Linked DNA regions of Danio rerio. The protein of the gene in region 1 purifies or fractionates together with the protein of each later gene. This does not show direct contact. Links are inferred from orthologs where the notes say so. Each region holds a gene or a part of one and is shown on either strand. Other genes may lie near its edges. The genes, in order: isca2 and iba57.

Region 1 (17,758 bases):
CACTATAAATAATAATGAGAAACCGACGCCTCATCATTGCACTTGCAGTACTGCGCTACGTCGCCAATTTTGATCCCGCCCCAAAAATCATTTTAAACCCGGAAGCTGAAATTAGCTGACAAAAGCTCAAAATTATCCAGTTTTCCCCACAATTAAAGCTGACAAGTGCTAACATTGTCTTAACTAATGCTCAACACACACATATCTGTTAATATAAAAAAAAGTTCTCTAGGGTGTCCTAAACCTTTAATAAACAACCATCCAACAGACTGACAGACATTCTCCAGTTATGTTGCACTATGAAGAAACTGACATGAAACCATCAGATTTGGTGGGCAGCGATCAGATCAGTTACTTGGCAGAATGCTTTCAATGACTACCCAGAATCAAGAATCACTGGGTTGTTGTTATTGGAAATGCTCCCATTCTAATGGTACACTTGTGTGTGTTTTTCAGTCTGTTTGTATGGCGGTGTGTCCACACTCCTCACTGAGATCCCGCTGTGTCCTCGCTCTGCCTCAAAAGCATCTCCAGTCCAGCTGACAGCATGAGTGCACACACACTCACAGAGATCTTTACACAGTCTTACAGCAGATGCATGAGCCGTCGTCACCCATTCTGAATGATAGTTGGGTGTCACACGACCCAACATACTGTAAAAGATCCATCAGACGTGTATGTGTTTACCCTTCACTTTTATTTGTCTTTTTTAAAGAAAGAAAAAAAAAATAGAGCTACAAGTCATTTATTTTGGATTCCGTCTGTATTGATGTTTAAAAGAGTTTCTTCCGAATGAAAAAGAACTTGTAGCAAGCTAACAACAATTAGCCTTAAACTACCCGTTGCGTGTTTTTTATTTATTATTCTTCATTTAGGTGTGGTGTTTTTGATATTATATTCTGTTTTCTGTCGTCTTCATTTCTGGTGGTTGTTTTCAAGGTTTCATGGATCTCCTGTGGCCTTCTCCCTGAATGTAACACTGGCGTTATATTCTAGGATGTCAGCATGCCAAAGCATTCTATGCACTGTATACTTGACCTGCTCACTGTGGTAGTCCAGTGGTCTTTTCATGTCCATCTTGAACGTGATCTCCCTAAACAGTAGAAGACACTCCTAACCTCATATGTAGCAACTCTAGCTTGATTAGTGAACTTGAGACGTCTGTTCGTGTGAGTAGGTATGAGCTTTGTGTTTCATGTCAGGGATCAAAGTTTAAAAGAAGAAGAAAAAAAAACTAATGCAATTCCTCAGAAAACGAATGAAGAGTTTGTTTCAACGCTGTCTTATCTGAAATCACTGTTCATGTTGCTGCTGAAGCCTTTATGACATCACATCATTTATTTGATTATTCTGATGTTTTTTATTGTTTTTGTTGGACTTTACTAATCTGGATTGTCCAAGTTCAGCGTGAACTGAAACAAAATGCAACCTTGTCTCTGGTTCATTCTGATTGAAAGAGATGTGCTTAATGCATCTTTTAATTTTCTTGTAAATATCATTTGTAAAGACATTCTTTTGTATATTTTTGTGAAATGTTTCTTAAAGGCCAACTTTAATAATAAAAAAAAAGATGTACACATAAGTGGTGCGTTCATGTAAGACTGTTTTACACAAATATCTAATCTATATATTGAATATATTGGCATGTAGATGTGGTCAAGATGATCTCACAAAGTTTAGATCTTTCAGTTAAAATATTTGAAAAACGTGATGTATTTCAGAATGTTGATGTACGTCCAACTGAAACTGAATATTGAGGGGGCAGGGTTTTGCCCTTTTTTCACATCATTTCCTCAAAGCAAACTAACGGTAAGAGGGGGCGTGGTTAAGAATATTGTAGTGTCAAACTGATGTCAACAGAGAAGAACCGAAACCAAACACCACTCCAAACACGGAAGCAAATGGTCAGACTTTGATTGAGGATTACCTGAAATATCAAATACGTTTGGAAGAAGTGAAGAGTGAGTAAATGTTGACAGGGTTTTAAGCTTTTGGTTACAAACTTTATGGAACAAAAATATTTTAAATAAAACTCTAAACAAATAATGCATTAAATTAACAAGTGCTTGCATTTTAATAGATTGATTTAACATAGCAGTTTAAGCGCAGCAATTTATTTCCACCTGCAAATTATGCCTTAAAAGACCTCAAAACAAGGCATCATGGTGGTGCAGTGGGTAGCACGATCGCCTCACAACAAGAAGGTCGTTGGTTCAGTTGACACTTCTGGCTGGAGTTTGCATGTTCTCCTTTTGTTCGGGTGGGTTTCCTTGGTGTGCTCCAGTTTTCCCAGTCGAAAGACATGCGGTACAGGTAAATTGAAAACGCTAAATTGGCTGTAATGTGTGTGTACTGCCGTCCTGGGTGTTTCCGGGTGTTGGGTTTGCAGCTGGAAGGGCATCTGTTGCATAAAACATATGCTGGATAAGTTGGCAATTTGTACTGCTGCGGCAACCCCTACTTAATAAAGGGATTAAGCCGAAAAGAAAATGAATGAATGAATGAAGACCTCAAAACATACCTGAACACTCCCTACATCTAATAATTCCAAAGTCCTGAAAACATTATTATCATGGCATTCTCATTACTCATTCATTCATTTTCTTTTCTGCTTAGTCCCTTTATTAATCACAGCGAAATGAACGGCTAATTTATCCAGCATATGTTTTATGCAGCGGATGCTCTTCTAGCCACAACCCATCAATGGGAAACATTCAAACACATTCATTCACACACTACGGTCAATTTTAGCATACCCAATTCACCTGTACCACGTCTTTGGACTTATGCAGGAAACCAGAGCACCTGGAGGAAACCCATGCAAACACGATTAGAACATGCAAACTCCACACAAAAACACCAACTTACCCAGTCCAACATCGGACCAGTGACCTGCTTGCTGCAAGGCGAACGTGCTAACCACTGTGTCACTCGCATTCTTATTACTCTCTTATAATAGATAATTATATCATTATATGTTCTTGATTTTGTAATTAATATCTTTATTCTTACATTTTTGTGTGCTGTTGGGGTTGTTTTCATGATTTTAAGTCTTAATTCGGTCAAAACTATTTCTGTGTTTTAGCAAGTGGAATGGTTTTTGGTTACAGATCTTATTTTGAAACATATCTTGGTAAAATTCTTTGGAAATAATGAAAAACAATTAACAACACACTGGGCACATTTAATACCCTTTTGTTATGTTAGTTTTTTGTGTTCCCGATTGACTTACAGTATATGTCATGTTATAAGCCCATTTTTTTCATTGCAAAGCTATGACAGCATATAATCATGCATTCTTGATTGTTAGTGGTTTTCCATATTCAGTTTGTCATTTTTACTGTTGATCATAAGTTACAGTGAAAAAAAAAAGAAAACAATAGTTTTTGGCTTGAATATGGAGAATGTGTGCATGGGTGAGAGAAAGAGTGTAAGAGAGGCCTTTCCACAATTACCATAATATGTTTGATAAAAATAAAAATAAGCAGTTTAGTTCTCAGAACATAGTAAACAGTATACAGTATGTATATGTATATATATAAGCCAGAAACTTAGATAGGTCTTGCACAGGTCTATCTAAAGGGTTAAAAGTGCCAACTGATGATCAAGAGTAAAAACTAAAACTTGCACCTCTTCAACAGAGGAAAAAGCACCAACAATCAAGAATGCATGATTATATGGTGTCAAGGCTTTGCAATAAAAAGATTGTGGTTATAATGAAAGTCAACGGGGCAAAAATAGCGAGAGGGTGCTCGCTGCAGAGCCATTTGAGGAGAGCTGAGCTCCAGCGAGAGGGAGCATGAGCTGTCACTCCTCCTCCTGTAAGCTGTTTTAATGCGTACACCAACCCCACCCCTAACCCTACCCCCAGTGACATCACTCGTAGAAGAAGTGCAAAAAAGGTGGAGCTCAAGCTTAAGCTCCCCCTCGAGCACCACTTGAAAATAGCCACAAACATAATGAAATGGTTGTCGATTTTCACAATTCACAAGGGTTAATTGTCCTTAACCCTGGCATTGTGTTTATCTATTTAATTGTTTTTTTTTATATATTATTTTCCTGTTTCTCTTTTGTAGTTTATATTCCGTATAGCAGTCAATAATAATAATAATAATAATATTAATACAAGGTTATGTCTATAGAAGATAGAGAGATAATGTGTCATATTTGTCAAAGGCGGTTTGAGTAACCGTTGTGACGGTTCATGTAAGTAACCCGATTTTGAACCCCTAATTTTTAAAAAAACATTTGAACTGAAATAAAATGAATTGAAAATTACCTTTAGAATAGTATATATCACGTTTTAAACAACTGGATATTTGAATAAGTATTACATTTAAGTATGAAAATGTGTCAAATATTTTTCATTAAAATATTCACAACATAAACAGCTATGCTAAACTGCAGGAGCTAAAAACACAAACCCTGGGAATTCAAATCATTAAAATGCATGAGATAGTTAAATTAATGTATTTTTTTCAGTTAGGGCTATTTGGCAAGCATTTTATTTTAAATACTTTTAGCATTATTTAAGTTCCACAGAACCGTCACTTTAACGATCATTACTAAAAAAAAAAAAAGACCTCGTCAGCATAAAACAATCACATTCTATGATAATGAGCTCCTTACAATCAAGATAAGAGATTAACTTCGAGACCACAGATTTATAATGTAATCAATTCAGTTCTGTGATCAATCCCAGATTCTAACTGAGCTGTCTCTCAAGAAGCCTAAAAAACAACAACAGGGAATATCATATCATCTTATAACTTTATTTAGATATATATTTACAATCTTTCTTATATACAGTACAACACACAAAACACTGAATGTCATTTACCATAGTAACAAATTGAGCATTGATCACATTATTATATTATTATGCCTCTGACTGATCTTAAAGGGACAGTTCACTCAAAACTGAAAATTCTGACATTATTTATCCTTCAAGAGCTTCATTATTCTGTTAAACACAAAAGGACATATTCTAGAGAAATCTGGAAAGCTGTAAAGACTGACTTCCATAGTATTTGTTTTTCCTACTATAGCAGTCAATGGTCAGAGCTTTCTTCAAAATATCTTTGTGTTGAACAGAATAAAGAAGCTCATAAAGGTTTTGAACCACTTGAGGGAGTAAATAGTGTGTGAACATTCATTTTTTGGGTGAACTCTACCTGTAAATAAGCAGACATGTAAGCTGTGTGTTCTGAACTGATATGCAGACAGGAAGAGAGTCAGAGTTTCACAGAAAAAGAGGAGCCACAGGAGCAGCCGTGTTCAGCCTGAGGATTCTTCAACACCTGAAATGAAGCGCGAATGAGCTCCTGACTGAAGTCAACAGTGGATCCTTTCACAAACTCCAGACTGTCCTGGTCCACCACTATCCCTACGCCGTTCTTTTCAAACACTCTAGAGGAAAAGAAAGAGATATAAAAGCAAGAGTTGTTTCACCTAGTATGCATGCTAGATCCCAGTGCTACAAGCAACAAACGATCAGTTTTTCATTTCCACAGTTACTTTTTACATAAATATGCACCTCAACAACTTGTTTGATCATTACACTCCCAAAAATGATCAGGTCCTTACCATTTCCTTACATTTAAGGAAATGGCGGTTCTAGACCTTTATGATTATCTTTCTTCTGTTAAACACAAAACAAGATATTTTGAAGAATGTTGAAAAAAACAGCAGTGTAGAAACAATACTGTGGAAGTCAGTGGCTGAACATTTTTCAATATATGTTAATTTGTGATCAGCAGAAGAAAGGTTTGAAACAAGTGAAGGATGAGTAAATGATAGAACTTTCATTTTTGGTTGAACTCACTCATTAAATATGTTATGCTTTAAAAAAATCTCTAGATATTGTGTCATTTTCTTTGTTGATGGCCATTGGTATTTAGATTTGGCAACAAAGGCACAAACATCATGTTCTATAGAGCAGAGGTTTAGTGCAGGGCCAAACATTTTAGCCCGCGACCCTAAAATAACAATTCCAGTGACTCATGACCCCCCACTATCCTCAGAGTTGGTTATAAGCATACAAACATTGTATACCATGGTGCATACACACCAAAAGGAACAATATAAACACGAGCATATTGACAACACAAAAAAAGTGCAACAGTCTAACAATCATATAATGTTATAGTCATTATTCATTTGTTTAATTTAATAGTAGCCTCATATAATGAGACTGGTGGGCACAATGTTCACAGCGCAAGACTGTACAGAAGTTTTGGTTTAATTTTGGAGATCACCACTTGGAGATGGTCCTCTATGTTCAGTCATGGCCTTTATTTTTAATGTGTGCAAGTGCTGTAAAGGCGTTAAAGTTAAACATTGTGCTGTGAAATCAATTTGCTACAACTAACGCTGTTACTGTGTCATCAATCTAATAACCCCCACCTTTTTGATCTGACCTTTTTATGAACTACGATTTTGTCATTTAGTGGTATTGTTTTTTGTGATCTTTATGTGCTGTCAGCCGTCTTGACCAGGTGTTACTGGAAGAACAGACAGTACTGTCTCAACATGATCTCCTGGCTAAATAAAGGAAATGAATAAATAAAAAAAGGTACACAAGTGCTGCTTTCTTTATGATTTGTATGTGTGCAGCACTAGTTCTGGTTTCCCTTTGTGGAATGACAATACAGACTACTACCACCTGTCGGTATTAAAAAAGCACAACTAGATGTCATGAGCAGATTTTTTTGACATTAGCCTAATAACACTGGTGGCGTGTGATTATGATATAATGTCTAGTGAACTTTTATTACCAGACTAAAAGATAGTTTGAAGATAACTACTGAAGAATTAATATTAGCATGTAAAAATGCTGTAAAACTACTAAAGTTTGAAATTCAATTCCTATCATGCAGTAGATAAAACAACAGTTTGTTTTGATACAAATAAGATACACAATTATACATAGTGTGCCTTTACAACCCTAAAAACAGCATTAATTTAGATTTAACATGAACAATTTCAAAATTGGTCTTTTTTCAGTTGACTATGATTGCTAAACTGTATGAATAATATCTATAAGTTTGGTAAAATTAAGTTTGGATTTTTAAAAATATTTCATTTTTATGTAGGCCTAGCTCCTATCACTAGATCTAATTTTGACAAAGAAAAAAGCACATGCAAAAATGAATAAAATAAAAACTTTTTATAACCCCTTTTGTGCAAGGTAAATTACCTGTCATCTTCATTTTTCACACTGTCCACAGAGAATTTATACTGGAATCCTGAACATCCTCCTCCCTCCACTGCTATTCTCAGATATTGTCCTTTCTCCATGATTTCAGCGAGCCTCTACAGAAACAACAAAAGTACAACTATTAATATTTGCTGTTGTCCAAGGCTATTTCCCAGTACTGAGTTGTGGCTGGAAGGGCATCTGCTACATGAAACATATGCTGAAATAGTTGACAGGTTATTCCACTGTGGTGCCCCCTGATAAATAAGGGTCTAAGCCAAAGAAAAATGAATGAATGAATAAATAAATGTTCATGGCTAGATAGGCACATTTAATTGTGCCTATCTGGTGTGTGCGTAAATGTGACCGCATAAATTGAAAGTTCTCCCAAAACTTCTTTCTTCTGTTGCATGCAAAAGAAGATATTTTGAATAATGTCGGTAACAGCATCAAATGATTTTCCTTATTTTTTTTTTACTATGGATTTAAATGGTTTCCAGACCTCTTCTTTTGAGTTGAAACAGACAAACGAAATTTATAAATATTTGGAACCATAAGGATGAGTAAACATCAATTTGGCCACAACTATACTTCTGAGTATCTAAGATGAAGTACACATGAACTCGCACCTTGACACAGGACTGGCTGAGGTGAACTTCTGCATCTGTACTGGATGTATTCTGGTGTTCAGTGTTGGAGGAGGTGGAGGTGAGAGGAGCTGCACATGATCTCACTGACAGCAGGCTGGAGAACAACAAAACGCACGTGACAGCCAGGGAATGGTGGACACACACACACACACACACACAATGCACTTGATCAAAACAAACCTATGGGGCTAATTTGTCAACCTACTTCTGTAAAAACATTATGATGATTTCACGTTAAAAAGCAACTAAGAAAGAGATTTAACATTCTTGACATGATATGTGTAACATTAGCAAAACGCGGATTAGTTTGTAATCCACTGAATACACGCAATCGAGAAATTTCATTTTAATTAAATCAGTATATAAGTTTAAGTGGCGATTTTCATTAATTAGTTCTGATATGTGCTACTTTCAGTTATTGGATACTAATAAGGTGTCGTTATCTCACTGCCTGTGCATGCTAGCTAAGCTATTTTGTTAGCTATTAGCTGAAGTACGGACATAAAACATAGTCAAACCAAATCACAAAATACATGCAAAATGTATGAGCGTAATTTCGCTAAATTGAGCATACTTGAGAAGGTGAAATGACGCTGTTTTAGGAGCGCTTACAAGCAGTCTCCGGGCGAATGACATCTTCTGTAACTCACACAGTACTACGCATGCGCCTTAGTGGACGTTATCGAGAATATCGGTTGCCAGGTTGGATTTTTATGTATTTAGGGTGTTATTTTTATTTGGTTTCAAAACGTTTTAAAACAGTAAACTATGTTTACGTTAATAGAAATCTGATTTTTATAATAAAGACAGCTTTCACAGAACCATAAAAAATTAAGTTAGATAAATAAGAACACAAATGATCTTTCTATGAAGTACCATTATTTGTCACAGAAACATTTTTTTACTGAAATCTTCTTAAATGTGCAATAAAAACTTTCTTAGAACTAATATGTCTAAATAATATGTTTTATTAGCAAACCATTATTTTAAAATCGACAATTGTTTCGCCATAATATAAAAAAGTAATGACTGTTAGGTCTACCACTTGTGTAACCAGTTTTACTACAAATACCATGGATAATCTATTTTAGACTATGTTTAGTTTAGTCTAACGATTAAAAACTGTTAAACACACACAAAGGGTTCAAAGGATGTAAGCTGAAGGAAATTGAGTGAGTTATTGAATATCCAAGCAAACATTGTTTGCTTGGATAAACTTGTTTTCCAAGTTTTTCACATATCTGGCAACAAAAGAACGTCCTAGTTTCAGACCATTTTAACGAGTCACTACCATTGGTTGAGAGATCGTCGAAAAGGCGTTTTACGTCATAGGACTGCCCATACATACAGTATTTGATTGGAGGACACAGTCATTCTGGTCTCGTGACAAGGAAACAGGGTGTAAGAAAAGGGGACAGAAGGAAGAACCTAGTAAGTAAACACATTTAATTAAATTATTTAATGTTTTTACCTTTTAACTTGATCTAAGTACTTTTTCTCTGAAAGTTTTTGTGTGCTATTTTGAAAAGTGACATTTACGTTTATGAGGAAGTGTACGCATATTCGCTGTCATGTGATTATTAATTATCCTACTTGTGTTTAGATTTTTGTCAGTAAACTAACTCTAGTGTGTTGGTTCCTAACAGCATTCATTTGAACCATGGACTACAGAGTGCTCGGCGTGGTTTTACTTTCTTTTCTCGCGTACACTTGTGCTGATCCGGTAAAATTTGTGGACTGCGGTAAGTCTTTATTTTTATCAAGTTTGTATATTTAACAATTTCAATTTATTTATTTTTTACTTGAATTGTATATTTGTATATAATTTCCACTTTCATCTTACAGGCTCGGTAGACGGAAAAGTAGTTCAGGTTGACATCAAGCCCTGCTCGCAACAGCCCTGCAAGCTTCACAAGGGACAATCCTACACCGTTAATGTAACCTTCAGCAGTGGTGAGTTGCTTTATACATATAATAAACTTTTGAATAAATCTGAAATTATGATGTTAATAATAACTATTAACCCTTATATTTCCTTAGGTGTTGAAAGTCAGACCAGTAAAGCTGTGGTTCATGGTGTGCTTGCTGGTGTCCCTGTCCCCTTCCCTATTCCAATTGACGATGGGTGCAAATCTGGCATTCAGTGTCCTATTGTTCCACAGAAACCTTACAACTATGTCACTGAGCTGCCTGTCAAGACTGAGTATCCAGCAGTAAGTGTTAAAGCTTCTTCTCTAGTTCTAAGCAAGTCTGTAATGTTGTATATCTTCACTTAAATATTTATTTTTGTTTATTAGATAAAAGTGGTTGTGGAATGGGAACTAAGAGACGACTCCAGCAAAGATTTATTTTGCATCAAGTTCCCTGTCCAGATCGTAAACTGAAAGCCAACGCTGAAGTCAGGATAAAATGCTTACAAAGGGATCCGATTAACAGAAGCATCTGAAAGATTGCCTGAAAAGCTTTTAGATTTCTTATAGTAGATTCAGATTTTATGATTATATTATTACCTTTTCTAACCAAGACAGATTTGTTATTTTATTTTAATGTATTGTCTTTAACTATGCACACAGACCCACTGTACAAACATTGCCAAATTCTAGTTTGTTGCTAAAACTGCATTAATGATTGACCAGATTGAGATGTTGATAAGCTGTGGTGATCAATTTAGGCTCTAGTTGCTGTGTGGCTACTTCTAATGTTTCTAATTCACATTTCTTGGAGCGATTACTTGCGAACTTTTAAGTTAAACTTTTTAAATCTGCTTATTTAATAAAGAATCTGAAAATTATTTTCTTAAAATACTGGCTAATGTGGCCAAATGTAACAAGCAGCTTTGTACATTACTGTCTGAAATAAAATACTTTTTTATTGTAAGCAATGTTTTTTTTTGTTTTTGTTTGTTTTCTTCTGTTTGATGTACTACTGATGACATTTCTTCCAAATTCTAAATAAATGTTAAGGCTTAATATTCAAGTCAAGACAACACAACACTTATCAATTGTTATTATTATTTATTTCTTTAAATGTTTTTATTTTTTTCTTATTTTAAATTTGGAAGAAATGTTATAAGTCCTCTGGTCTAGGAAACCTCTATAAATCCCAAAATACAACTACATGAGTGTACTGTTACACCCTTTCATTTCATTGGGTGTCTTGGTAAAGGAAACGACCTTAGTTTTTGAAAACTTTTTAGTATTTACAGGACGTCCACTGAAATGTCACTTGTTACAATAATTTCAATAGAAAGAAACTAAGTTTGGGACCACTTGATGGTGAGTAAATTAAATTTTTACGTGATCTATTTAATGAAGAGTCAGTATTTGTTCACGGCCATGAACACTCCATCTAGTTTTTCTGTATGCATTTTAGTTTTAATGAAAGCGAACCAATTAATAGCACATATAAATAGGCTATATATAAACGGTTAAAGTGAACTACCTTCTCCTTTTTAGGTCAAACATTCAAGCTGCTAGTTGCAGTTCTGTTTTTTAAGAGGTCACCTGTCATGTGTTTTATTTAGCGACGGAAGAAATGAAGATTTGCAAAGCTTGAAACGATTCACTGCTAGGGACATGTATGCATGGGATACATGCAGGTCAAAAACCTCATCAAGAGCAACACATCTTTTTTTTTTTTTTTTTTTTTTTAAGAGTTGACTTGCATAGATTGTAACCTGTAGTCCACTTCTCTTTAATGACTGTTCAATGTTGCTGAATATTGGCTGTAACTGGAACATGCAGCTGGATGCACCAATTCAGAGCATCTCAAACATGCTTGGTGAGTTACATGTCCACTATGCAAGAACTGGTATGTTTTCAGCTTCCAGGAGTGGTGTACAGAAACTTGCAACATGGGGTTGTGCATTATCATGCTGCAAGATGAGGTGGTGTTTGTGGACGAATGGCACAACAATGAGCTTCATTGTCTCATTGCGCTATCTCTGCATTTAAAAAGCCATCAATAATATTCAGCTGCTTTCATTGCCCATTGCATATGCCTATAATATAACCACACCGTGACCATGGGCCGCTGTATTTACATCACTGACATCAGCAACCCACTCAACCACACTTGACGCCATCCACACGGTCTACCATCTGCCTTGCACAGTGAAAACCAGGATTCATTCATGAAGAGAACACTTCTCCAAAGTGCCAGATGTCATCAAATCAGGTTTCAGAGATTATATTGTTTGTTCCATTGTGGGCTCGCTATTAAGAGAAGCTTAGTCCTTTATTTATCAGGGGTTGTCAAAGTGGAATGAACCAGCAATTACCCTGGCATGTGTTTTATGCAGAGGATGCCATCCAAGTCGCAATCCAGCACTGGGAAATACACACACTAATTCACTACGCCTAATTTAGTTTATTCATTTCACCTACACCGAATGTCTTGGGACTGTAGGGGAAACTGCAGCACTCATAAAATACAAACTCGCAAAACTATGAAATCTGTTCAGTGATTCACCACTAGGGAGCACTCTTGGTGAACCTGCATCATTTGTATATTTTATGATATTACAAAGATTGTCCATCAAAAGAGAAGCATTGATGTTTTATAAATGTATTAAAGCCCTGTTTACTGAAATCAAATTACATTACAATTACAATAGTTGCATGCTATTTTCAAAGTGTCAATATGCAGTGCCTCTCATTGTGCTTTTTAGACACAATTTTATCATCTATGGCAAATTTGGAAAGACCTAAAATATTCCTGTAATCCTTGGCTAAAATCGGGAGAAGGTCAGAGCCAGCTTCAAGTGTTTTTATTTTTATAATGTCTTGTACTAAGACACCTGTACCTGTTTTGTTTTATGAATGTCTACACCTACCACAATCCTAAACCAAACCATCCAGTAACCTTATTCATTCATTTTCTTTTCAGCTTAGTCCCTTTATTAATCACAGTTTGCCACAGCGGAATGAACTGCCAACTTATCCAGCACATGTTTTACACAGCGGATGCTCTTCCAGCCACAACCCAACACTGGGAAACACCCACACACTTTTGCGCACAAGCACATACCGCTTAATGGTCCTTGTAATCAGATTTTCCAAATGATAAACTGGCACCGAGACTGACACTGCTGGCAGTGTTAGAAGTTTTCAGACACTTTCTAGCTGTGAAACTTCAGCTAATGCAAGTGTCAAACCAAGAATTAATAGAAACACTGATTCTGAATACACAATCAGCCCTACAGTTTCTAATAACTGTAGGGAAATGTCAAAATGGCTCTTTTCTGGTAATTTTTATTAAGCATGTTACAGACATCCAACTTGGTCAAAGTAATTTCTGGGAGGGGGGTACATAAAGACATTAATTTCTGGGAGATTGTATCTAATTTGTGGGCATCAGAGAGTCTCTATGCATGTGTGCGGGACACTCCACGGAACTTGGGATGTCTGAAGTTGTGAAGCTAAATAACACTACAAATTGTTTTTGTTTGCAAGGAGATACGATTTCAAAATGCTTGTTTTTGAATGTTTTGTTGAATTAAATTGCCAGATGGTCTACTATTCCCATCTGTACACTAATGGCTAATATTACCCACAATAAATTGCATGTTGAATGTAAATTCAATTAGGACCAAGATGGCAGAGCTTAAGTTACCAAACAAACACGTTTAGGGACAGATGTGTGTAGTATGGAATGTATTCAGCCATTACATTGTGTTATAAACACCCTGAGTTCTTGTAAACAATATATATATTATAATGTTAAATTATCATCCAAATCCCAGCGATTTTTGTGATCTACCACACCATGACAAACACCAAGTATGGTTTTCCCCAGCTGCTGAATTGATTGACAGGCATTTATTACACTGTAAAATGCTGGGTTCCACGCAAATGATTTGTGTTGCTACATCATGAAGGAATTAAGGCAACAATAGATTTTACAAATTTAATGGATTGAATATAAAACAAATACATTGTCCCCCAAAAAACTTGAGAAGTGTGTTGTTTTAGCTCATTTACAGTTTTTTACAATTGCTATGACACTTTTATCAATACATTTAACAAGTTTCCTAAACTCTTAACACAGTTAGCACAACATCCGTCTTCGTGGGCTATACAATTAACACATTTCTTGTTGCTTTGACGCAAAAGGCATCCAGTTAACACCAATTTAAAATGCTTTAACTTCTTTTACACACAAGCACAACCAAGAACAAAACAACGTAATTTTACAGTCAAATTTACAAATGCTTTAACACAGTATGTCAGAACAGATAACACCTTGTTCTAAACAGAAATTATATAGGATAAAGTCAAAGTGAACAGCTTTTCTAATTGTGAATTGAAACACAAGTTTATTCCCTGTATTTTATTCAATTGCCAATGAGAAACAGCATATTGTGGTTATATAAATAAATAAATAAATAAATAAATAAATATATATATATATATATATATATATATATATATATATATATATATATATATATATATATATATATATATATATATATATATATATATATTTCTTTATTTGTTTATATAGCCGCAATATGCTGTTTCTCATTGGCAACTGAAAAAAAAATATATATATATATATGACAGCTGTTTCCCATCTAGAAAGCACACTCATGTCTTGTTTTGGTTTTTCCAATCACATGATCATATGTTCTAATAGAGGACTCTAGAGGTTTTTGGAAAGAACAGTGAGCACATCAAAGAACTGTGTCACCCATACGTCCATGTAAGATTATGTAATACAGTCATTACTGTACTTTACACAGTGTGTTTTGCAGTAAACTACTCTTTAAACCTGGAGTTCATTAGTACAGTACATATACAGTACAGCATTTGCATACACTGTGTCTAATTACTTTCAGAGAGTCATGAAGTAAAAGCCCAATCAAGTACCACATGAAATTTTCAATGTTGACAAGGCTGGGGATGTCGCCATAGGAAAAACATAATAGACCAAAGGGCCACAGTTACCGTGCCGGGCCACAGAAGATATCAAGTATAATGTGGATGAGAACATGTGGCAAAAGACCGGGCAGAAAAGAAGATTACTTTGTTATTTTATTATAATTGTGGTGCTTTTTCTGTTTGCAGTGATGTCTTTCTGCAAAAAAAGTCTGTACTGCAGAAATTCTTTTTTTTACATAAACTGTAAATTTTATAAAGCAATTTTTTTTCTACGCTTTGTATAGAATTTTTGCCGTAAACGAAAGAAAATGCATGCGTTTACTTAACCCAACAAAACAAAACTGTAACGAGACTTCAAATATAAGGGCAGAGCTGACACATAAACTAATGGAGTTTCTGTAATGTCAGCTGATGATAGTGTTTTTATTGTCAGTGTGTTCTGATTGACTAAATGGTTATGTTGGAAGAGAACATGTGTTTGTGTTTTGAACAATAATTTCTTTTTGAAACATGATTGCAGTGTTTTGTTAGACATAGTGTAGTGTGTTCGTTTATTATTGTATTTTGAAAAGTAGTTTAGAGGTTTAGTTTATAATGTTTGATTTTGAGCATAAAATTAACTGTTTTGCCAATTGTGTATTTTAGGTGTGTTGCTGCGTTAAGAGTTTAGCAAACTTGTTAAATGTATTGAAAAAAGTGTCATAGCCATTGTAAAAAAACTGTAAAATAAGTAGTTTGAACAAACAGCAAATATAATTTTTTGAGTGTACTTGATCTCGGTATTAATGTGTATATTCATGTCGACAAGACAGGGTTTGCAAAGAAACTGACATTAAAAGATGTTTCAACTCTCTGTGATTAGCTGCATCCCAAGACTGAGTTGTACAAGTTTAAAATATTTTTTAAGCAGTGCATGTTTGTAAAATACAAATGTAAATATTATTTATATAAAAATATAAATAAACACAGTAAATATATTAACATAGAAAATTATATAGTAAAATCGCAATATAATTCATAACTGCTGGAATCACCACAGCCACAGTGTTAGTACAACTATAAAGGAGGACTCTTCAAACCCACAAAAGGAGTTAAATTTGTGGATGTTAACTCTGGTTTATTTTGTACAGAAGCATAATGAATATCCATACTGCGGTGTGTGTTTACTTGTATCCTGTCACATTTGCCGTGTGTAGACATGCAGAAACAGTCCATTGTGTTAAACATGTATACAGCAAACTTTGTAACAGCATTTGTGTGTTTCTTGTTCATCTTTGCAGAAAGGCTTAAATAAATTTTACTGGAAAATACTTCCTCCTTAATTCCAGAAAAAAAATATTTGCCCAATTGCTTTTATTCTTAACTTCCCCAATTGGTTGACAGGCAACGAGCGTATTGTTAAAAACATTTGTTGAAAAAACATATTTGATGTCTACTACAGTAAACATCATTTGGGACTTGTGGAGCTGCCCATCGATGGATTTGCTCTTCAGTATTTGTACTTTCAGCAGTGAAATTTAAACCACACAGAACTGAATTAAACCTAACTGTTACTCTAAAATCTGGACTGAATTTCAATTAAATAGAACTTCTATGTTAAGCTGCTTCAAAACAATCCACATTGTAAAAGCACTAAAAAAAACATGAATTAGAAATAAACATGAATTGAATTGAGCATCGGAATGCATTACATGTGAAATGGAACCTTAATGAAATATGATCTTGATGAAATTTCTTATTTTGTAGAAGTGGTCATGGATTCTGCCACTATTTGAATTCTGATGTTCAAGGCCCAAAACATCTTAATATTTGGATAGTTTAGACAGGCCATGTAGACAGAACTTATCAGGGGTGGTGTTTAGTGATTCTCCAGACCCAAGGACCCCACATTGATCTGTGCACTTTAAATCAGAGTCAGCAATGTTTTTTTTTCGAAATGTTTCACAAGAGCCCAGTTTTGCCATGTTCAGAAATTACTGCTCTGAACAAATGTGGGTTGAATGTCTAGAAAAGCATAAACGAAGAAAACTAAAGAAATTTGACTCTTGTTATCCTTCAATATTTATTCATTCATTCATTTTTTGTCGGCTTAGTCCCTTTATTAATCCGGGGTCGCCACAGCGGAATGAACCACCATCTTATCCAGCAAGTTTTTATGCAGCGGATGCCCTTCCAGCCGCAACCCATCTCTGGGGGAGATCCAAACACACACGCACACACACACACACTGAGCCGAGGCTCGAACCAGCGACCCATCGACCTTCTTGCTGTGAGGCGACAGCACTACCTACTTCGCCTATCCTACCCATTGCTTCGCCTATCCTACAATAAGCTATTAGAATGAATTATTTTTGTCATATAAATAATGCAAATATTAAACTATGGATGACATGGTGTACATTGTAGTACTGCCACAGAGTAGAAATCAAGTGGATGTGGGATTTTGATCCTCTGAGGGGCCTGTTTCCTCTGTCTCAACCACCAGGGCCCGGTTTTTCAAAAGTAATCCACTAGGATTTTGGATAAGGGATTGGATCAAATCTTGAAAATGGGTTTTTCAAAAGAAAAAACAGATTATAATCGGATTAGATCACGTAATCCAATCTTGTTTTTGATCCAGATCAAATCTTTAGTTTGGGTTTTTCAGACCTTTTTTGTAGGATTTGGATCATCTGGACTTGAAATCTTCCTCCTAAAGAATACGCTCAGAAAGTCGGACATTATTGTGGAGGTTTCAACATTGTTTTTTTTTTATTCAATACATCTATATTTGAAACTTATCTTAAATATCCTCAATGTACAGTGTTGTAGATCTCAGATGAGCGGACTGCTGTAAGAGGATGGGGTGGGGTTTTCTTGCTTTTATTATTTATTATTATAATTATTTTATTATTTATAAAATTTTCTTAGTTTTCATTTCAAATAAAAATAAATTTATATTTACCCCACACTGGCTATTCTTCTTGTTGCTCTTTACATAGGCCTCTTTCCAACATTGTGATTGAGCACTGGTAATCCAGATTTAG
Region 2 (14,481 bases), on another chromosome or scaffold:
TAAACTCAATACTAGTATCTTGCAAAATAACTGGTATAATATGTCATCATGGCTAATTAAAATTAGTTATTGAAACTATTATGTTTAATAATGTGCTAAAAACCAAAGAACACAAAGCTTTCATTTCAGCTCAGGTAGTAAATTATTCGGTCGTTCAGCACAAAAGTTCACATCATGGGCTTGACATCGTTGGACCGACTTCAGCTCGATATCATCACCCTGACCCGACCCATTTGATGAACTGCTGGATTCCTCCAGCAGATACTCCCTCGGAGTCTTAAACGCATTTCTTAACCGTTTCCAGACTTTTTTGTTTAGAAACATGTACAACAGGGGGTTTACGAGCACATGCGTGAAGGCAATGGACTCGGTCACCTGAATGGCGAAGTCAAACTGTATGTTAGTGGTGCAAGCGTAAAAAAAGTGAAGGTCTTGCAAGGCATGCAGGAAAATGACAACGCTGTAGGGGAACCAGAGGAGAAAAAACATCACGGTGAATCCGGTTTCCAGTCGAAACCTCTGGAATCTGCTTCTTCCCACAACAACACTGCAATATCGTATCCAACAGAAAACAAGCACGAGAAACGGTATGACGAACCCAAGCAGGGTCATCTGAAACCTCGTGTAGACTTTCCAACCGAACCCATCATTGAAATGATAAGTGCAAACGATCTTCTCGTGGAATTTTTGCAACTCCACAAAGCTGACATGAACAGCCGCAGCCAAAATTGAGAAAAGCCACACGATGGCACACAAAACGCCGTTCCTCTTTGAACTTCTGAAGATCCTGAGGGTGGAATCAACGCGTGCGTCGTCCAAAAATCTCTGCAAGCTCAGACTGGCGACAAAAAGATTGCTGCTGTACAAACTAACCATGTAAACGAACGTGATCGCTTTACAGCTGTGATCGCCGAAGATCCACTCGCTGCCGGCGTAGACCGCCCAGAAAGAAAGGCTCAGTGTGAACAGGATGTCCGATATGACCATCTGAAGAGGTAAAACCATCCTCAGAGTCTTATATTTGACCAGCAACACCACAAGGGTTAAATTAGCGATAATCCCCAGCGCACAGGTAACAGAGTAGAACGTAGGTAGAAACAAATAGCTGAACTCCTTAACGTGCGTCTTCTTGCACAGTCCAAACTCCTCAAGTCCATCAGAATTGTAATAGTCCTCATACAAGCTGACGTCCTCCGGGTTTAAAACATCCATGGCTTGAATTCAAATGTTTGTTATTCACAGATTTGCTATTCAGATCTGGCTTCAGAGATTTTCCTCAAAGACAGCACTTTTTTTTTCAGTAGATTAGTGCGACACTTGCCTGGAAATCCTCTCAAGTCATTCTTTAGGACAAGACCTGTGTCCGGGAAACAGAACAAACAGTTGTTCTCTAAGCATGGAAAGAATGCATCCAGCATTTTGATACTAACACAATGAATCAGAGGAGGTAGTCCTGCAGTTTATAAAAACTGTTTTAGGGTATGCCTACATCAACAATAAGAAAGGAAATTTGCTTGACTGAGCATTGGGAGGAGCAGGAAAGGAAGAAATGACTCTCTCTCACACACACTCTCACACACACACATATTAAAAGCAGAAGTTATTGTTTTTCTGGCATGACTAGCATCTTTGTAAATCACAGATGTGACACTTAAACTGTGAGCGCGACTGAAACTAAACTAAGATGCTGTTAAACTATTGATTAATGCTATATTTGAAGAGTTTAGATGCAAAAAAAATTAAAAGTGCCTTCTGATATGTTCCTAAATTAGTTTTTCTTTCTTTTTCTTTTTCATTTTTTTCTTTAGGTGGAGTTATTTCACTTTAAAGGCAATGCAAAGAACATTATTTGGCATAAATGTGAAATTACTCAACCTATACACAGAAGCCTCAGAAAAAAATACACTGCTTTTCTTACTTAGATTTTTTTTTGTCTTGTTTCCAGTCTAAATATCTCACAATTCTTAAATCAAGAAGAACTTTCTAGACAAGCAAAACATATTGTCTTGTTTTCAGGAATAATATGCCAAAGCAAAAATAATCTGCCAATGGAGTAAGCAAAATAATCTTGTTTTTCCTTTTGACATAAGATTATTTTGCTTACCCTATTGGCAGATTATTTAGCTTGTTTTAAGGAAAAACTCACTTAATGTGGGCATGTTATTTTTTAAAGGGCACCTATGGTGAAAAAATCAAGCTGTTTGGACAGACATGTGTGTAAGTATAGTGTATATACTGTCTTATTGGGGTGAAATAAACACACCCAGTCCTTTTTTTTCAAATTTAACAACATAAAAACGGTGGACCAACTGTAGCGGTTTTCAGATCGACCGCAACTTTAAGTATGAGTGCGGTCCCCCGCCCACCAATATTGATTGACAGCTGCGCGCATTAACATGTCTCCATAGTAATGCATATAGTCATATCGACAAGACAGGACGAGTGCAAAGCAACTGGGAATAAAAGGTCTGTTCAGTTTGCTAGAATCATCAATCATCATCAGACGTGATCAAGAGTGAGTTTTACAAGTTTAACATGTTTTAAAACAGAGCACGTGTGTAATGAAGTACAGTCATTCACTTCATCAGCACAACCGCGTGTCTCTCTCACTGTCTTTCTGTGTGTGTGTGTGCGCTATGTATGTATGTGTCTGACTGTCTACGCTATGTATGTGTGTGTGTGTGTGTGTGAACTCATTGTTGCAACTCCCCAAAAAATGCATCAAATACTGTAGTAATTCTCACAAACGTTACGTGAGATCTGCTTCCTGAGGCAGCCGAGGGCGGCGATTGAGGCATGTTGCTGACAGGCACGTGGGAACGGTGGGCAGGGATGACTAGCCTTAAAGGCCCAGTGCAAAAAAACAATAACAACCTTTTCCCGGCTATAATACAGACACTTTAAACAGCTATAATAAATACTCTGATGGGTGTTTTGAGCTGAAACTTAACAGACACATTCTGGGGACACAAAAGACTTATAATAAATATGAAAAAAGGGGTAACCTTTAAAAAAAAAAAAAAAAAAAATATATATATATATATATATATATATATATATATATATATATATATATATATATATATATATATATATATATATATATATATATATATTTAAAATTTATGTGCCCTTTAAAACAAGACAATATATTTTGCTTGTCTAGAAAATTCTTCTTGATTTAAGAATTGTGAGAAATTTGCACTAGAAACAAGACAAAAAAATCTAAGCAAGAAAAGCATTTTTTTTTTGCAGTGATCCCATTTTAGAAGAAGATTTCTGGTGGCACTTTGAAGTTTTTGCATTCAAACTCTTGATTTAACGTTTAAAACAAGCTGTTGAGATGAACAGTTTTATGTTAAAATGTCATTCATGCAGACATCCCAGGTCTCCCGGAAGTTGCGGGAGTATTCCTCAAATGCATAGACACTCCCGGATGCCCGATATGAATCATAATCTCCCGGAAATCGCGCGCTTCCTGCACGGTCTTTAAATATGTTGAACAGCCCTCTCTCCACCGCATCCCTCGTAGCTCTTCAGGTACGTCGCGCGCAACTCACCCCCACCGCTCTTCAGGCAATGTTATGTCACTTCGCACACACAACTCCCACCGCTCTTTGGGTACGTCTCGCGCGCACACGCCCCCCTACCAAAATACGTCGCTCACTCAATGCACCCCATCCCCCACCCCCGCTCTTCAAACACCCACTATCAACTCTGTATCCCCCGGAAATTACTTTTCCCAACTGGGATGTCTGTTCATGTGAAAGCAACCGTAATATTAATAATACTAATAAATTCTGACCTTTACTTGAACTAGATAAAATACCAAGTCATTAAAGAGCCCCTATTATACATTATAAAAGGCCATATTTTGGTTTTGGGGGTGTCCAACAAAAGGCTGATATGCATGCAAGCTCAAAAAACATGTTCATTGTCTTATAATATGCATTTATTTTTACCTAATTATCCCAAACGACTCCCATATGATTTGTTCAGTGATTTATTTGTTCCCAAACCCCTCCTTTGCGTGATGCTAATCAGCACTAATTGGTCCGATGACCAGGGCCAGACGGAATCTGCAGATATTTTTTGCTATTTCTGCAGAGAATTTTGGTAAGAATCTGCAGATTTCTGCCAAACTATTTTGGGAGTATCATAACTAAAACCTTAATATGTTAAAAAAATATATATATTTTTTTACTTTTATTTAATGTTTAAAATGCAAATCCAATTAGATTCAGTTTATTTGGTAAACAAAGCAAGTCTGTCATATAATATGTCTACTAAAAGACAGAAAATATCACTGTACAAACTGCATTGTACATAAATTAGATGAACATTTTCATATTAGCCAATAATATTACCGTACTTAATTTAAAAACGGAATAAATATAGATTTACACACATTTACTCAAGTAAATAAACAGAATTAATGATGGGCTAAAAATCTGCTGAAAATCTGCGCGCGCAAATTCCGTGTGGGCCTACCGATGACCTATTCTGTTGTGATTGATCGAATGCGTTCAGCATGAGACAGAGAGAATGCCCACCATGGTCATAAAGTAGAACAAAGTATGTGAGAGCCCAGTGCAAGAATGCAATAAAGCAATGAGGTTAAACACCAGCATATATACTATTCTGAACCCTATAATAACAATGTAATAACAATGACACAATTCCAACCCAGGCTCATTTTGAAAACGAAGTCCTGTGGACGTTTCTGGAGGTCGCAAATTATGGAGGTACGTATGGCTGCATTTCATTTTTTAAGTGAGCGCTATATGTGGCGGTATGACTCTGTTCCTTTTGGTGCTTACCGGCTGACCACTTTACTGTGGGGCTTTCCCGCCGCAACCAATTTTACCAGTTAGCTCGTCGGCGGAATTGAGAAGCAAAGAGGAATTAACCACGATGACCGGGTTCTAGTCTGGGGAAGAACAATTCCAGAAATCAGGATTAGACAAAGGATGAATCATTTATCTGACTCTGAGTCGACTAAAAGAATCTATAGTTTTAAACACGGTTCACTCTTCATCTTCGGCCTTTGTCCCGCATGGTTGCGGGGTCGGCTCTTTTTGGAACAAGTTCTCCATTTAAGACTTGTCCATAAGATAACAACATTTTTTACACCTTCCGGCCGGCCTGTCACACTTATACACTCATACATACACTATGGACAATTTAGCCTAACCAATTTACCTGTAGCATGTCTTTGGACTGTGGAGGAAACCGGAGCACCCGGAGGAAAACCACACGAACGCAGGGAGAACATGCAAACTTCACACAGAAACGCCAACTGAGCTGAGGTTCGAACCAGCGACCTTCTTGCTGTGAGGCGACAGCACTACCTACTGCGCCACTGCTTTGACCTTTCAAACATGGTTCACTATCAGCCGCTGGCTGTGGAGTTGCTGATGAAAGTGAAGAGCGGGCGGAGAGATCACAGATGAAAGTGAAGAGCCGTGGGGGGGTTTGGATTGGAGCGGGCCCTTGATAATGTCTCTGGGGCCCCCCTAAATGTATGGGCCCTTAGAATCGTCCTAACTTTACCCCCTCTAGCGGCGCCCCTGGCTGTGTTACACACTGCATGGGCGGTAATTTTCAAAAACGCAATAATAGGGGCTCTTTAAACTACATTTTATTCGGTTTTAATTGATTAAAAGACTCCTGGGTAAAAACCTATTGATTTAATATGAAGGATGATGGAGAAAAACCTTATCTATACATATTACAAATTATATATATTATAAATTATAAGATTTTTACGTATTTTTCTGTTCCAAATATGCCCGATATAATTATGTGATATTTAAACTTTAGTCTTGATCACACCATCATGATCCAAATGTATAATAGTTTTTGTTTTGCTCTGAACAAAGATAAAGCAAGACATTTTCCATAGGCAGTGAGCAAAAACAAAACCCCTTTTGTTTTTGAAGGATATAGACTTTACATCTGCCAATGTTTTGCTTACTTCCTTCAGTTTTAACGATTTTACCCTTAGGGTTGCCACATTTCCAAATAAACTGCTGAGCTCAGGGTAGAACTTTGGAACTAGTGGAATTTCCTCTGAAATACCATTCAGAAAATCATGACTGCTTGCACTTTTTTAACAACAACTACTTCTGAGTTATCAGAGACTGTGACAAAAAACATATATAAACACACACACACACACACATATATTATATATATATTCTGTTTAACATAGAATATTTTTTTTCAAAACATTTCTAAGAATAATAGTTTTAATAACTCATTTCTAAAGCCGCCTTTCCACTGCACATGACATTTGAACACGACTGTCGGAATACGCTCCCTTGTGGCAGCCGCACAGTATTTTCAGTGTTGTCGTGCACCGTGGGGGAGAAACTGATTCACACGGTGTCCGAAATAAAGGAGTGCAAAAGCAAGAGCCTTTATTCTCTGTGCGTTTACATGGTTTAACGAATGAATGAATACTAAAAACTCATAGACCGCTAACATATTGGAGGGAATGTGGGGACAACATTAAAACATATATTTTTATTACTTTCTTACTTACATTTATGAACAGAAAAGTTTATTTTTTTAATATAGAGTTTTTAGATTAAAAAAATAACCAAATAAACTCCCATTTCTCATCTCGCGCACATGGATCTGCTTGGACAAAACTGGAATACATCATATCCGGTCAGCAGGTCGCATACGGTCTAGTCGCAGAAGTTTGAAATATTTCAACGGATCCGAATTGAGCTGCGAATTTTCCGCATACGGAGATGATCGGAACTCCACGCAGCTCCCGGACTGCTCTCCATTGGAAATGAATGACTTCCGGTCTGTCGCTTGTCGTGTGCAGTGAAAAGGCGGCTTAATAACTGTTTTATTTTATCTTTGTCATGATGACAGTAAATAATATTTGACTAGATATTTTTCATGACACTTCTATACAGCTTAAAGTGGCATTTAAAAGCTAAACTAGGGTAATAGGTGAACTAGGCAGGTTAGGGTAATTAGGTAAGTTATTGTATAATGATGGATTGTTCAGTAGGCTATCAACAAAAATATATAGCTTAAGGGGGCTAATAATATCGTCCTTAAAATGGTGTTTAAAAAATTAAAAACTGCTTTAATTCTAGCCGAAATCAAACAAATAAGACTTTCTCCAGAAGAAAAAATATTATCAGACATACTGTGAAAATTCCCTTGCACTGTTAAACATCATTTGGGCAATACTTAAAGAAAAGAAATTCAAAGGGGGGCTAATAATTCTGACTTCAACTGTATATGTAGGGTGGTGCGGACGATTGGGGGGGGTCAGTTTTTTCAGTTATGTTCGGTAATATGCCTCAGTGAACCAAAGTTACATATTTAATTCAATATCTAATAATTAATATAGACTAAATTGCAGGTATATATTTATATTATTTTATGTATAATTGTGTTTATTGTAAATTCCTTCTTAAAAACTCTACTTTTTGTATTAACATTATATGTTAGGCACCTAGGGTCTGAGAGTAACGTAATTTCGTTTCTCTATATGTCCTGAACATGTGGTTGAATTGACAATAAAGCTGACTTTGACTTGACTTTGACTTAATCAAGCTTTTGTTTTTGTTTTAAGGGATATTGAGTGGTTTTCAATGACATTTCTGATATTAAATAAACGATGACATGTTTGCATACCTGCACTATTAATGGACGACCATGAAAGACTACACATGTATTTTTGTTTTACTTTTTAACTTTCATGTGTGAGCAAGTGTATAATAAAATACAAACTATGCATCTAGTTTCATGGACACCTACAGTACAAATGCCTTTTTTATTGGAAACATGTTTAGTGAACACTGTCTGTTGCTGCTCTAGATTTGCTGGTTTCAAATCGCTAAATTAATATTTTTGATACAAACATGCATTGTTAATAGTATGAACTATTATAGAGCTGGTCAAATGTTATTATTTAATTAGAGATATTATTTAAGATACAGATCAGAGCAAACTATTTCTTAACTATTAAAGGGCTATTATATATACCTGACAACACTCTTAGTTTTCCCAGGAGTCTCCAGTATTTCACACCCATCTCCCGCCACCCTCCTATTTTGTTATTTCTCCCAGAAAACCCATGTAATTAATAAATATATAAAGAAACGTATACTGATTAATATCCTGTTAGTCATCCAATGTGTCTGAATTTATTTCCACAACACTTTCGATTTACACTTCCTTTCTCCCTTTTTAGATTTGAAAAAGAACCTCACCATGTGAGTTTGGATGCATCGTAAATTTCTCCTCCTGTCATTTTTTTTTCATCCTTCTTTTTTTCGACACTTCTTGTCGACCTGCCAAATCAAAATAAAACCATGAAACGCTAGCATGGCAGTTTTTGAAAGGAAAACAAACAAAGTTGGCCCTTGGTAACCTTTGGTTTGGCCTATAAAGGGAGGGAGAATGATATGGAGTTTAATAGGGCGAATGCCTTTTACACAGATCGCCATTTCGAATTTAACGTAGGCTAACCTTTTGTTCTGTTTAATTGAGGAGCTACAAAAAGCCAGCTAAAACTAAATGTTTATAAATGAATCAGACTTTTAAATGCAAATACTGCACTTGGCAGATGACAATGCACAAGACATCAGTAAGCAAATCAAGGCAAAGGCAGGAGCAGCTCGACTAGTGTATTCAGCATTGATCTCCATTATATTATAAATGGGATTGTTTATGTTTTTACAATAAGTTCAGTATAAAATGTTAAAAATGATACTGCATCATAATTTAATATGATTTAAAGCAACGTCTAGTTATTTTTAAACATTAGCAAATAAATGAAGAAATTACACATGGCAAATTTAATGTAATACAGTTTGGTATATTTAATGTTGGCACACAGCCCTCAGTTATTTGGTTTTTGGCCCTTTATAAGAACAATTTGGCCACCCCTGGTTTACATAATGGCTGTTTACTTGTCTTTATTCCAATTGTAATATATAGTTCAATTTGACATTTTTTCTCACTTCTCATTTGCACAAGACCTTTTCCATCTTAGTGTACCCATCCATGAAGTAATGAAGTAACAAAGAATAAGTAATACAGCTTTGTATCTAGCCATTTAGCAGGAGGACACCAACAGCACTGTACAAATCTGTTTATGTAATTAAAGAATGTCTAGATCTGGCTTATTTACCGAAATAAATCTACTTTCACGAAGGAGTTCGTCGCCACAGAACACAAAAGTGTATTGAAGATACATTTAACAGGAATAAAAATAGCTGTAATCACTAAAAATCAAATATAATCTATGAAATGCTGAGCATGTTTACAATTTTAATCGTAATATTACAGGCTACAATTAACTTTTACTCGACGCTATAACATAGCTTACCTTTAGTGAACAGTTGTTTGACGTTTAACGATATTCAGTGAACTCATGAATATTCATATTCCTCCGCACACTTATAATTCGTCTCACAAAAGTGTTAAATAAGATTTCAAATAATATATATATAGCTACACAAATCTGTTTATTTATATCTCCATACAAACTGGGCGAATATCACAACGAAGTACTATTAAAATTATGATAAAACACGGGATTAGTTTGACGCCTCAAAGTGAGGGCGGACGCAGCTAACGTTACGCTATGAATATTTATAAGATAAGCCTCCGCCATAGTATTTGTTTCGTACACAAAACGCAGTGCAGTATGGGAATGAAAATGGAAGGTTTAAGGTTGGAAGGTTGACTTGCTGTTGCTGCATTCAGAAAACAACATAATGCAAAGGATGATTTTGTTTGGTGGTGCTTTGAGGGAGATTGTGGTGCGGTCAGGCGGACTTCAGGCGCACTATTTTCTATGTACAAGCAGGACTCGGATTAAAACACACTCTCAAACTCGAGCTGCCAGCAGTACAGCACACTTTAGCTGTTACAGATTACCACACAGGACTGTCCTCAATGTATCTGGACAAGACACGAGCTCATTTCTTCAAGGAATAATCACCAATGACATGAATCTTCTGGGAGAGGATTCACTGAATGCCATGTACGCTCACGTGCTCAATGTTCAAGGCAGGACACTGTACGACATCATCCTTTACAGGTAAAATTAACACACTAACTAACTAACACTATTAACATTTAATTAGCTTAAAATGTTGGGATTAAACACTATATGTAATATTGACGTGCTTTTAGAAGTGCTGGAGTTTAGTAAATTGGGTTCGTAAAATGTGGGCGTGACCTGATTCAGCATTATCTCACTGTCACACATTGATAGTTTTGTATTGACGTGAATAGATATGAAGCTGCTTTTGTACAGTTCTATTTTATATCACTAAAGTCAGTGTTATTTATGTATAATATTATGCTGATATGTCCAGTGGCTTACAAATAATGAATATGACAGAATTGTTCATCCACATAAAGCCATGGTGTGTATTAGACTAGTACACAGGTGTCAAATCTAGTTCCTGGAGGGCCGCAGCTCTGCACAGTTTAGTTCCGCAACATGAAAAATAAGAACTGCGCCTATTTTTGCCAAAAACTTTCTATAAATAAGTCACTCTGGGTAAAAAAATTGCATTGTTGATAGAAAAAAGTTTGAAAAATTTATACTTCTCATGTTTTTGGTAATTTGGTAATAATCTGTAAAGGTGTTAAGTTTTGTGTTTGCCAAAATATATAGTTTTCTAACTAGAAATGTTAACTAAGTATTTTATTCTTAATTTTATTTGCACACACACAATATATATATATATATATATATATATATATATATATATATATATATATATATATATATATATATATAACACACATATACACACACATAAATAGAAACAAAGCTGCACAATTTTATTACGTTTTTTTACATGAATATTTAAATTTATGTACAAATTGTATCATATTCAGATGTATTTTATATCTAAATAATATAAATAAAACTTTTCTCATATATGTGTGTATTTATATATACATAATAAATATATAAACAGCATACATACACTTAAATTATTATTAAATTAAACTTTTATTTTGAATGCGATTAATCGTGATACATTTTTGTCCAGATAGAATTATTATTAATAAACTATCAGTGTTTTATGTAAATAATTGCAAAAGCAGATATATTTCATAACTAAATGGATGATTCTAAATGTTGCAATGTCTGTTAATCTCCATCTATATTGCTATGGTTGTCACTATGCCAGTTTCTTTTAGTTTTAAAGGGAACACCACATTATGAGGATAACATCCCTGAAACTGTGTGTAATTGGCCATTGGCATTCTTAGTAGCATTAGTAGCATAGAAAACATTCATTCCATTACTAAAATTTAAAACATTGACATATTTTATAATTATACATAATATTTTATTTGATCTATTTATTGCTTTTACTTTGACTTTAACCACCACCGTCCAATTGGCCCTCCGAGAAACAGTTCATTAATTTTCTTTTCGGCTTAGTCCCTTTATTAATCTGAGTTTGCCACAGCGGAATGAACCGCCAACTTATCCAGCATATGTTTTACGCAGCAGATGCCCTTCCAGCTGCAACCCATCACTGGGAAACACCCATACACTCTCATTCACACACATACACTACAGATCATTTAGCTTAATTCATCTATGGCGCATGTGTTTGGACTTGTGTGGGGAACCGGAGCACCTGGAGGAAACTCACACCAACACAGGGAGAACATGCAAACTCCACACAGAAATGCCAACTTTTTTTAATAATAAAAAAAAAAAACATTTTTAAAGGTCAAATATTATTACTTTATTTTAGACCCCCCAAAAAAAGATCTTGTTTTTTATGTTCTCCCTGTACGCATTAACGAAACTTACTTTGTTCTTCAGTTTAAAAGGAAACCCAGATGGACTCAACGGTGTACTTCTGGAGTGTGACAGCACAGTGCAGGACTCTGTTATGCAGCTTCTGAAAGTCTACAAGATACGTCGCAAAGTGAACCTCAGCGTATGTCCGAGTCTCTCGCTCTGGGCTCTGCTACCTCACAGTAAAGAAGCTGTCCTGGGAAGGCCTGATGTTACCACTACTGATAAAGTGCTGGTTTTGGAGAAAGACCCAAGAACTGAGCTCATGGGCTGGAGAATGATCACCAGCGCTCAGGACAATCCACTGGACATTGTGTCTGCTTGTCGACTGGGCAACACTGAAGAATACCACAGGCATCGCTATGAGATTGGTATTGCTTGTACATTATTATTATTTATGTAGACTGGGCTTACTTCTCAGGTCTAGCTTGTACAACCAGTGCTGTATTTCATTTCATTTTCACAGGACTGCCTGAAGGAGTCGGAGATCTTCCCCCAGGTGAGGCTCTTCCACTGGAAGCCAATCTGGTCTACATGCAGGGAATCAGCTTCAGCAAGGGCTGCTACATCGGGCAGGAGCTGACGGCCAGAACTCACCACACCGGCGTGATAAGAAAGCGTCTGATGCCTGTCAGCTTATCTGCTCCAGCCGAGAAGCTCAACCAGGGGTCAGCTCTTCAGACAGAGGGAGGAAAACCAGCAGGTAAATACAGGACAGGAGTGGACAAGCTGGGACTGAGCCTCGTACGCCTGGCTCACGCCAAAGAAACACTCCAGCTCAAATCATCTGGTGACGAGACGGTGACTGTACTAGCCTCTGTGCCCGACTGGTGGCCAAAAACCCCCCAAGAGAAATAAATCACAAACACTAGAAATGTAAGAGTGTCATATTTGAAGCCAGAACATTTACACAGAGGTACCGATTGACACCTTGAAATAAAAGAAGTTTCTTTGGGTTGATCTTCTAAAAGAGTTCACATTGCAATTGTATGGAGCCCCTTCTCGGGAACATGCAGAATATACTGACACTGAGGAAAACTGTTGAATAAAGTTACACAGATTACCACCTGTCAACAGTGTTGGGCAAGCTACTTGAAAAATGTAGTGAGCTAAGCTAAAAGCTACATGGCAAAAGTAGCTTAGCTACATCTAAGCTAATTTTACAATTTTCATTTTTTTAATTGAAGCAACTTAAATCCCAAGTCAATTATTTTAGTGATCAATAAAACTGCCAATGTAACATATGAGGCAGAATAGTTCAGTTCAGTTATTTACTGTAAATAATATGCTGTACTAAACAAACATTATGGTATATAACATCTAAAAAATAAAATAAAATAAAAAATCCAATAAAACCAGGTGTTGCCCATTTAAAATACTATAGTAATTAATAGTAAAGGGAAATTTTTTGGAATAAGCAGTATGGTGTGTGTGTGTGTATATATATACATATACATATATACATATATATATATATATATATATATATATATATATATATATATATATATATATATATAAGTATTTTCTGTTTTTGAGCACAGCATCATAAAATTAAGTTGTTGCATCTTAACGTACTTCTCGAGGTATGGTCACGAGCAGGGCCGGAGCAAGCTGAACTGCCGCTCTAGGCAGAGGACGATCACGCCGCCCTCAACCCCAATGTGAAAACGAAAGTGACCGGTTATGAAAATGAAGTGAGGTGTCGCGGACCTTTATTCTGCCGCCCTATGCGCGGATATAACTGAGGACGCGCGGGTTCTGAGGGAGGGAGGTGTCGCCGACGTTGCTCTCTCTATTCTGCCGCCCTATGCAAGGAAATAACTGAGGACGCGCGGGTGTCGCGGACCTCTATTCTGCCACCCTATGCGCGGATATAACTGAGGACGCGCGGGTGCTGAGGGAGAGAGGGAGGTGTTGCTGACGCTGCCCTCTCTATTCTGTCGCCAATGCGCGAATATATCTGAGGACGCGGGTGGTGAGGGAGGTGTCATGGACATAACTGAGGACGCAGGTGGTAGGGGGGTGTTGCGGACGTCGCCCTCTCTATACTGCCGCCCCAGGCGGCCGCCTAGGTCGCCTCTATGAATGCGCCGGCCCTGGTCACGAGGAATCCTGCTTCAGAAATAATTCCTCTCTCTCAGTAACGCACAAAACTTGTTGTCGAAGAAGAAGAAATCAACATTCTCTCATTCATATGGATTTACTTTCATCGGCTAGATATTGGCCTAACAGCTCTGTGAATGTCGGTGCCGTCACTTATTGATCCGCGATTTGTAAATGTAGCTTGTGTGGACGCCACTGCGCTACTTGACTAATAAAATAGCTTCGCTACTGAAAAGCTATTTGATTTAGAAAGTAGTGACGCTACCGTCACGCTACTGAGAAATGTATTTAAGCTAGTAGCATCACTACTTGGAGCGACGCTACTGCCCAACACTGCCTGGCAATAACTTTTTTTCCATGGGACTCTGGCATGAATAGGCAGAGTGATCTGTGTCTTTACTATAGCTTCAACAAACTTAGTTGGTGAAAAGACGCACAACCAAAAGGAACCCACCAACAGTATCTGAGGTTTTCACTAAAATTACTAAGTACAAGTGTGAAAGCGAGAGATTGAAGCAGTCTACTGATGCTGTGACACATTACCTGAAAGACTC

Evidence for each region.
Region 2: the proteins of isca2 (region 1) and iba57 purify together in Homo sapiens (co-immunoprecipitation; 4 studies listed by BioGRID and IntAct, with this or other methods). This does not show direct contact. The link is inferred for Danio rerio from reciprocal best matches to the Homo sapiens genes ISCA2 and IBA57.

What each region holds. Positions count from the first base shown.
Region 1 is NC_133192.1:48,002,123-48,019,880, reverse strand, and holds isca2 (iron-sulfur cluster assembly 2 homolog, mitochondrial), read right to left. Parts: upstream 8,507-17,758; 5' UTR 8,485-8,506; coding exon 8,423-8,484; intron 7,943-8,422; coding exon 7,828-7,942; intron 7,315-7,827; coding exon 7,199-7,314; intron 5,410-7,198; coding exon 5,235-5,409; 3' UTR 4,754-5,234; downstream 1-4,753. Other genes in the region: npc2.1 (NPC intracellular cholesterol transporter 2 precursor), read left to right, coding at 9,509-9,590, 9,694-9,801, 9,889-10,061, 10,146-10,232. UniProt on the Homo sapiens protein: Involved in the maturation of mitochondrial 4Fe-4S proteins functioning late in the iron-sulfur cluster assembly pathway. May be involved in the binding of an intermediate of Fe/S cluster assembly.
Region 2 is NC_133177.1:3,584,891-3,599,371, reverse strand, and holds iba57 (putative transferase CAF17 homolog, mitochondrial), read left to right. Parts: upstream 1-9,661; 5' UTR 9,662-9,758; coding exon 9,759-10,084; intron 10,085-11,845; coding exon 11,846-12,192; intron 12,193-12,287; coding exon 12,288-12,679; 3' UTR 12,680-13,171; downstream 13,172-14,481. Other genes in the region: atypical chemokine receptor 2, read right to left, coding at 121-1,212. UniProt on the Homo sapiens protein: Mitochondrial protein involved in the maturation of mitochondrial [4Fe-4S]-proteins in the late stage of the iron-sulfur cluster assembly pathway. Operates in cooperation with ISCA2 in the maturation of [4Fe-4S] proteins.